Daphnia pulex: one gene and its partner. The protein of the gene in region 1 interacts with the protein of each later gene in a pairwise test. Links are inferred from orthologs where the notes say so. Each region holds a gene or a part of one and is shown in the gene's direction. Other genes may lie near its edges. The genes, in order: ubiquitin-conjugating enzyme E2 W-like and E3 ubiquitin-protein ligase MARCHF5-like.

The links.
Region 2: the proteins of ubiquitin-conjugating enzyme E2 W-like (region 1) and E3 ubiquitin-protein ligase MARCHF5-like interact in binary tests that used the Homo sapiens proteins (3 or more experiments, as listed by UniProt). The link is inferred for Daphnia pulex from reciprocal best matches to the Homo sapiens genes UBE2W and MARCHF5.

The regions. Positions count from the first base shown.
Region 1 is NC_060027.1:2,995,232-2,999,538, reverse strand, and holds ubiquitin-conjugating enzyme E2 W-like, read left to right. Parts: upstream 1-1,520; 5' UTR 1,521-2,057; coding exon 2,058-2,105; intron 2,106-2,172; coding exon 2,173-2,264; intron 2,265-2,341; coding exon 2,342-2,444; intron 2,445-2,517; coding exon 2,518-2,569; intron 2,570-2,648; coding exon 2,649-2,752; intron 2,753-2,820; coding exon 2,821-2,896; intron 2,897-2,974; coding exon 2,975-2,988; 3' UTR 2,989-3,701; downstream 3,702-4,307. UniProt on the Homo sapiens protein: Accepts ubiquitin from the E1 complex and catalyzes its covalent attachment to other proteins.
Region 2 is NC_060025.1:257,590-261,270, reverse strand, and holds E3 ubiquitin-protein ligase MARCHF5-like, read left to right. Parts: upstream 1-1,308; 5' UTR 1,309-1,401; intron 1,402-1,615; exon of another isoform or gene 1,616-1,629; 5' UTR 1,630-1,688; coding exon 1,689-1,753; intron 1,754-1,810; coding exon 1,811-2,019; intron 2,020-2,076; coding exon 2,077-2,570; intron 2,571-2,637; coding exon 2,638-2,790; 3' UTR 2,791-2,967; downstream 2,968-3,681. Other genes in the region: 2-aminoethanethiol dioxygenase-like, read right to left, coding at 2,986-3,431, 3,497-3,681. UniProt on the Homo sapiens protein: Mitochondrial E3 ubiquitin-protein ligase that plays a crucial role in the control of mitochondrial morphology by acting as a positive regulator of mitochondrial fission and as an important regulator of immune response.

The DNA.
Region 1 (4,307 bases):
TAGATATCGATAATAGTGTTTGTAGTTTGACTAATCAAACCTTTTTCAAAATGACTATAACTTCAAATTAATTCTTAGCGTAATATCGATCCTGAGATTTTTTAAATGAATGTACAGTCGAATTAAATAATTATTTTTATGTTGAATTGAACCTTAATTGCCTCAGAAATTGAATACTCTTATCGTCACGGTATTTTCAGAAGACCGTCGTGAGTTGGAAGTAATTTTTCATCATTTGCAATTCTATCGGATTCGATCTCGGCACATATGAGCTATTTAACTGAAAGCTCATGCCCTACACGATTGAGCCATGTCATCTGTCGTGCTCGGAGATAATCAAGAGAATGTACATTTTTAATTGTGTTGGAAACTTTTTATTTGCGCCATAATAGAAACCGTGTTATAAGACATCCGCAGTGTATCAGAATGCATTATGCAATCTGACTAAACAAAAATGGCAAATGTTTGCAGAAAAATATTAATTGAATTAAGTTTTGGGTCCTCTCAAAACATCTCCAGTGGCGCAGTTGGTTAGCGCATGGTACTTATAGACAGTAATATATGCAAAACTAACATCAAAATAAAGATTGAAAGTAATGCCGAGGTCGCGAGTTCGAGCCTCGCCTGGAGAAAATTATTTAATTAATTTGCGAAATAAATAAAAAAAAATGTTGATACTTCGTTGTTTCCCACTACTGTCGCCGAGACAATGAAGAATCGATCAAACAACGTCGATTCGCTCGACTTGCGTCACTCACACCTATTGCATAATGTGTTACGTCAATATGACACTGCTGTTGTCACTATATCTTGTTAGTCCTTAAAGGATTCGCAACTGCCATAAATATCTCCAACTGAAAACAATACTACCGTTACGCTTTTGTTGTCACTTGTAAAAGATAAGGGCTCCCACCTTTTTAAAAAAACATCAACGTCTCAGTTTTGTTATAATACCATATGTCATCAATCGATAACTTTCTGCCTTAAGGTTATATAGGAGATGTACAGTACCCAGTCCCAATTAGCTGACGCGGGACACAAATTAGACAGTTAGCAGTGACATTGCACGACAAAGGAGGTTAAGGAAGACGCAACTTGGCCCGTTTGCGTAGTTATTGTTTCCGCTCACGAACCACAAAAGTTCAGTGAACGTTGGAATCCCCCAACTTATTGACGTTTGTTTTTTGTCTGCGTGTGAACTGGAAAAGAAAGAAACTCGCTGAATCAGAGATGAAGGGCAATCTTATTTGCGACGTAAAAAGAAATAAACGACGATAAATGTTTATTACAGGCAGTTTCCACGGTCGTTGAACTCGCAACTTCCGCATCTGCTTTCCGCAATTCACAGCGTTCCGCACAACTGCGTCTGCGAAATACCCAGACGTTTTTGGAGGAAGAAAACAAAACATGTCATCACATCACTCGCGTTTCACATGTTCTCCTGCTCAGGTAAATATTAAATAAAAAAATGCTTCAGTTTAATAAGTGTGAACGTATTCAGAATGGCGAAACGTTAAAGAGCCGCCTGCAATTATCTAGTCGTAGTTGGTAGAAAATGAAACTCGAGGAACCTTCGGTTGCCATGTCAGCTTGTCCTTCAATCTCATCATTATTTGGACTTGTCCTTGACATTTTGCTAGTAAAACTTTTCTTTTAAGTAATATTCTTGACTCGGTTTGAGGTTTCGGAAGTCTTTTTAGCGGTAAAAATAGCTATACTGCTCTGGAGATGGTGTGTGTTCTTGAAGCTTGCTAATCGGTTATGGCACAGATTCAACCAACTGCTTCCTTATTCTTCCCAATTGAGTCACCTGAGAAAATGAAACCCTAGAAGAGAGTTCTGACTTATTGGCACATGTCAGTTTGGCACATGTCTGGTGTGGCTTTGCACGGTTCACGTGAAGTGAAACCCTGCAGCGTACTGTCAAACTGGTGACATTTCCTTTCTATAAAAGGAGAAAGCTACATAAGTGGCAAGTTAGTTCTTGGATCGGTGAGTATAGTTTTCGCATTACTTGCTGGTGGTTGTGTCTCACATTATTGGTGCCCACTGCGAATATGAGTGACAAATCCCTGACTCAATCGTGTGTTCTTCAGAGACAAGAGGTTAACCCTGATTGTTGCCGAATAGATCAGTATCTAAATAAAACTCAATTTTTTTTTAATATTACAGAAAAGGCTGCAAAAGGAGCTTGTCTCCTTGATCAAGGAACCTCCTCCTGGTGTTGTGATCGATGGAGAATCTGTGGGCCAGAGCCTGGACTTGTAAGATTGACTTGACATTTTGTTGGACAAGTGCATCACACTTTTTTCACTTTATTTTTTTCAAATCTCACTTCCAGGTTGGTGTTGAGTATTAATGGAGCTCAAGGAACGATTTACGAAGGGGAGCAGTTTCAGTTACAGTTTCGTTTCGGACCAAAGTACCCTTTCGATTCGCCCGAGGTAACACCTTTCAGTCAACGAATTGACCAAAACCAACACGTATGTTTTACTCATTTGAGACCACTCTCTTTAGGTTGTTTTCGTCGGATCGGAGATCCCTGTCCATCCGCACGTCTACAGCAACGGTCTGTCTAGCGTGAAACCCTTAAAAGATGGTCAATAATTTAACCGCGGCTCTTTTCTCCAACCTTTTCGGTTATTCAGGCCACATCTGCCTCAGTATATTGACCGATGACTGGTCACCGGCTCTGTCCATTTTTTCGGTCTGTGTTTCCATTATCTCAATGCTCAGCTCTTGTAAAGAAAAGGTCAGTTTCAATTGTGTGAAAAAGTATCTTTCTCACCCATCACTCATTCACGACTATTGACCCGTTAGAAGAGACCACCGGATGACAGTATGTACGTGAAAACGTGCAGCAAGAACCCAAAGAAAACCAAATGGTGGTACCACGGTGAGTTTGAATGGCTACCGCCTAAACCCGAGTTATTATTAATCTTTTTTAACCATAAATCATTTCCCAATTTGCCAGACGAAGAAGTGTAAAACGGGTTGATATCTCTCCCCCTCGATTCCCGCTACGAAAAGAAAAAGAACCTGTTTCACGCTGGCGATGCTCGCGTCAGAGACAATCTAGTCGCCAAAAAAATACGAAAGAAAACAAAAATGGATTTTCTTTTTTCAGTTGTCAAAATTTTCCACCCTTCCGAATCGATCGCGTTGATTTCCCATTCCCGATATTGACCTACTACTTCCTCGCATAACGAAACAGTTCCTCTCTGTCTTGATTAATATGCGGTTGATACTCTCCAATTTTTGACTTGTAGCAATATTCACGAAAAACTACAGATGTGTAATGTTTCACACTTTTGGCGTTTGATTTTTCGACTTTTAATCGACATCAAATCTACGAAGCCTTTTTCCCCCCTTCTACTGTGTTTTATCTTACCCCCACCCATTCTTTAAATGTTAAACGAAAAATATTTCGCTCGTATAAAATTTGTTTCAACTATTATACTCAAATTCTTTTTCATTTCACGTTTGGAAGACAAAAAAACTAAACGATTTGAATTAGCCAAGTAAATAATGAATTGTATATTTCTGAAATGGTTTCAAAATCAGAGGGTAGTAGGGCGCAAATTTTGTAATCGACTTTTTCTGTTTTATTATCCTTTTCGAGAACATTTTTTGATGTGTGTGTGTGTGTGTCTTGTGTGATGTTTTTGTTTCGAAAGAAATAGAAGAAGAGATTAAAGTTCGTTTCCGACAGCTTTTTTTTAAGACTCCGCTATAACAACAGCAATGAAGGGCGTGACAAAACATACTTTTGGGTAAACGTAGAGATTAATTAAGGTGGGCGACTTGAAAAAAAATGTCATTCGTCAATTAATGATCGTATTATACACACACACACCATGACTCATGTTAATGTTAAAATAGCCAGTCATATGAGGAGTGTATATATAGCGGATATGAGCTGAAGAAAAGGAGAGGAAGAAAGGTTTTTTGACAAACAAATTCTCCTGGGTAATAAAAAGGGAAAGGTTTAAAAAAAAAAAAACAATTTAACTTTTTTTTTTCGTTTTTTCTTTTTTTTTAAATCAATTAATAAAATCAGAAAGGAGGAAATCTAAAATGATTGAGCGCTGCACGGTATTCCGTCGGACGTGTACACACTGAGAAGAAACAAATCCGCCGAGCTATTTTATCCTTTTTTAAAAAATAATAATTACAAAAATCCGAACTGCATTTTTTAAAATTCATTAAGGAGAAACGAAGAAACAATTTTGAAATTGAAATAGAATTACAAAGAGAGAGAGAGAAGAATAAGGAGGGCAGGGGGGGGATTGGTATACATAACAGCT
Region 2 (3,681 bases), on another chromosome or scaffold:
GACCATAGAACTATCTGTAACGCCATTGGGCAACGAAAATAATTACCTGGAAGTCCTAGTTGAGTCTTCAGGTTGTACTGAATTCGTGCCATGCAAGCACATGATTTGTGAGCTCGTGATTTAATATCCAAGTACTACTTGTTGACCAATAAAAATTTACGTTGATGTATTATTCTTTGTTTACTTTTTTTAAAGTCATGTCTACCAGATCCAAACAATGCATCTAGAAAACATAAAAATTGATATGAATTCATTTGTTGCCTAAATATAATTGGAGTTACAATATTTATACCTTTTCATATTCCAAACTAGAAAGTGTAGAACTGCTGGATAGCAAAGATGATTTCAGCCAGGTAATGACAAAGAATACTTTAGCTTCTGATGAGACAAGAACAAAAAAATAAAATTATAATTTTGATTGGGTGAATAAAAGCAAGAAAAATGAGCATCTCAATTTCAATGTCTTCACCATTTGGTACATGGTATAACAAACTGCAGAACTTTGCCCAGTAGTCCAATTCTGAAACATAGACCACTCCTCCCTGTAAAGACCAACACAATGGACATTCAAATAGAAACTTAGACAACGGTACATGTATCTAAACGAGAAAGTTTGTTGAACAAACCCTAATACTTGAAGCAAGTCTATTATGCCTCAACAATAAGCAATCTTACAAACAAAGTGAAAGAAAAGTTTAAAAACATTCCATTATAAGTATTAAGTAGAAAACTATTGTGGCAGCATTGGAAACTTCTCAGTTATTATGGTAAATGACAAGGGAGACTTGATCACAAGAAAACTTTATGTCAGAGCTCGTTCACGATCGTCATTCAGCGCAGATAAAGTTGATCGAGTTTAAAAGCACGAACAAGAAAATAAATTACTAAATGAAGGCCGATAATTGTGAACAGAATCGTAACAAAACTAAGATAACATTAGTTGGGGTAATCTGTGAATCATTCATTCATCACTTGACGGATGCTCAGAACAAGAAAACGCGACAAACGTACCTACTCCTATACTTACAACCATCCTTACAAAAGTCAGCGGCACTCAACAGAAGAATGAACGGAATGAAAAAATAGAACAATGAACCAATTAACTATGAAGCTACGAACGAGTGGAAAAACGTGTGGCCGACTGCGAGAAATGATGATGATCTGATGACTTATGAGAACCCCACCTCCTCAACATCCCCTCGGAAATACCAGCAGCACTTTTAGGACTCAATTGCTAAATCCCTAAACACATTTAAATAAATTGCGTCATCGTTTCATCAGAGTAATCTGTGACTCTGGTTTCATTCATCGCTTCCTCCTCGGGGTCAACCATACTTTTTGAAAAAATCTAACTAATAATAAAAAACTATGTTATGTGTCTTTTCCCCTCCCCATTCTCGAGTAAGCTAATGTCGTCGTCGTGTAAACCTGTGTAAACCACTGCGTCAGATTGCCATTTCGTAGTTTACCTTTTGCTTACTTATTATTTCATTATTATGTATTTGATTAGAAGTTAGACTGCATAATTTGATTAGAATTTTTTTTCCTACCTCGCAACTCATGGGGGGGGATGCCAACACCCAACACTTATGACGTTTTATTCCAACTGGTTTCTGTAACGGCTCCTAGATGTCCCTGTAGCATTTTATATTGTGATAAACAACAGAAAGAAAAATAACTGAAATATCATGGAGTCTGAGACAGAAGAACCCGTCATTGAAACGAATCGCCGAGAAGATTTACACGATGATAAGTAAGTGAAAGCAATTAAAAACTTGAATTTGCAATAACTTGGTTGTTTTTTTTTTAGCAAAAGATATTGCTGGGTTTGTTTTGCTACGGATGAGGACGATCTTACGGCTGTGTGGGTGCAACCATGCCAATGTAGTGGGACAACAAGATGGGTTCATGAAAGTTGCCTCCAACGTTGGGTTGACGAAAAGCAGAAAGGCAATTCATTGGAAAGGGTTCACTGTCCACAATGCAACACCCAATATGTTATAGTTTTCCCTCCAATTGGTAACTTTCTTTTTACATTGTTGATGTTTAGTCTGTTTAATGTGATTTCGTTTTTAGGAAAACTCATCTTAGTTCTTGATATTGCTGACCGCATTATTTACAGAGTGTGCCCATTTATAGCAGCTGGTGTTGTCATTGGTTCTATCTATTGGACTGCTGTGACCTATGGGGCGCTTACTATCATGCAAGCGGTTGGGGCCAAAGAAGGACTTGCATTAATGGAACAGTCAGATCCACTTTTTCTTTTGATCGGCCTACCAACAGTTCCTATCATGCTTATACTGGGAAGGCTTGTTCGTTGGGAAGAAGCTCTCTTGGGTTTTCTGAATAAGAATGTTCCCCGGGTGCCCATTGTGAAACATTTACTACCCACTTTTCAAATTGCATCAGATTCTGTGCGGCCCCATACACAGGGTACAGAGCCACCGTTTTCTGATCCGGTTTCTGCTACCAGGGTGTTATGTGGAGCATTAATATTTCCATCAATGGCTGTTCTCTTTGGAAAATTGCTATTTCATCCTGTTCACTCCAATCTAAAGAAAACTTTTTTTGTAAGTGATGTGCTATATTTTTTAATTTTAGTTTTATACCTATTTATAGTAATTCTTGTCTCTCCAGGGTGGTATTGCTTTTTTGATGCTCAAAGGAGCCTTGAAAATCTATTACAAGCAACAAATTCTTATTCGGCAATATCAACGCCGTGTGCTGGACTTCGCCAAAAGGCCATCCGACGGAAAAGAAATAAAAACAAGCAGTAATACTAATCCGTAATTAGAAAGTATGAATTTTGGGATTACATGAAAGTGTATATATTAATCTTGATTTGGGTGGGTTAAGATCAGTTTGTGTATTTGAACACATTGATACATTTTTTTTTAAACATTAGTTACAGTACTGAAACTGTTTCTGTTGAGATGCTGCTGCAAATAAAACTTGTTGGAACTTTAACCTGTGTTGCTACCTTAATTAGTTTAATTCATGCTGTAGGTGTTTGATGTCAGGTCCACAGTAGGTCAAAGAGTCACACCAGAAAGAAGGTGGACAAGAAGTCTTTTTCAGCAATCTGATTTCAGAATTAGATGGCATTCCATCTTCTCCTGCAACATCTGAGTAGTAGTAGCAATCTCTAACCTTCCCACCATTCAGAGTGCCACTTGGATCATATGGAGGTGCCAAAATATCCAGAAAAGATGCAGGACCTCCAACAGTCCAAATTGTGTGCAGGTTGTGTTCAGAAGGTGAAAGCACAGCAGGGCTATCCTTCTCATTAATACAGGAGATGGGAAATCTTCTCGCCTTTAGGTACTGAGGTTGGTGCACTATAGAGCTGTTGGTTTGTCCAGGGAGATCAATTGGAGAGTAGCTTTGTACATTAAGGCTCCCATACAACACTTTCAAGATTCCGTACATACCTTTAATCAATCATCATTTCAACAATAATTAAAGTTTTCTTTAAATTTACATCTGAATCAGTTACCAACATGATCATGCAGGGGAATAGAAGCTCCATCTTTGAGGACAAATATACCGATGCTAACAGTCTGGTTTTCAAAAATTTCCATGTAAGAGACTGGTGCAGCTTTTGATGAAAACAAATTTAAGGGAAAGCGAGGCTGGCCAGAATAGCGAGTTAATCCAAGGTCGTCAGCTGGGCAAATTTCA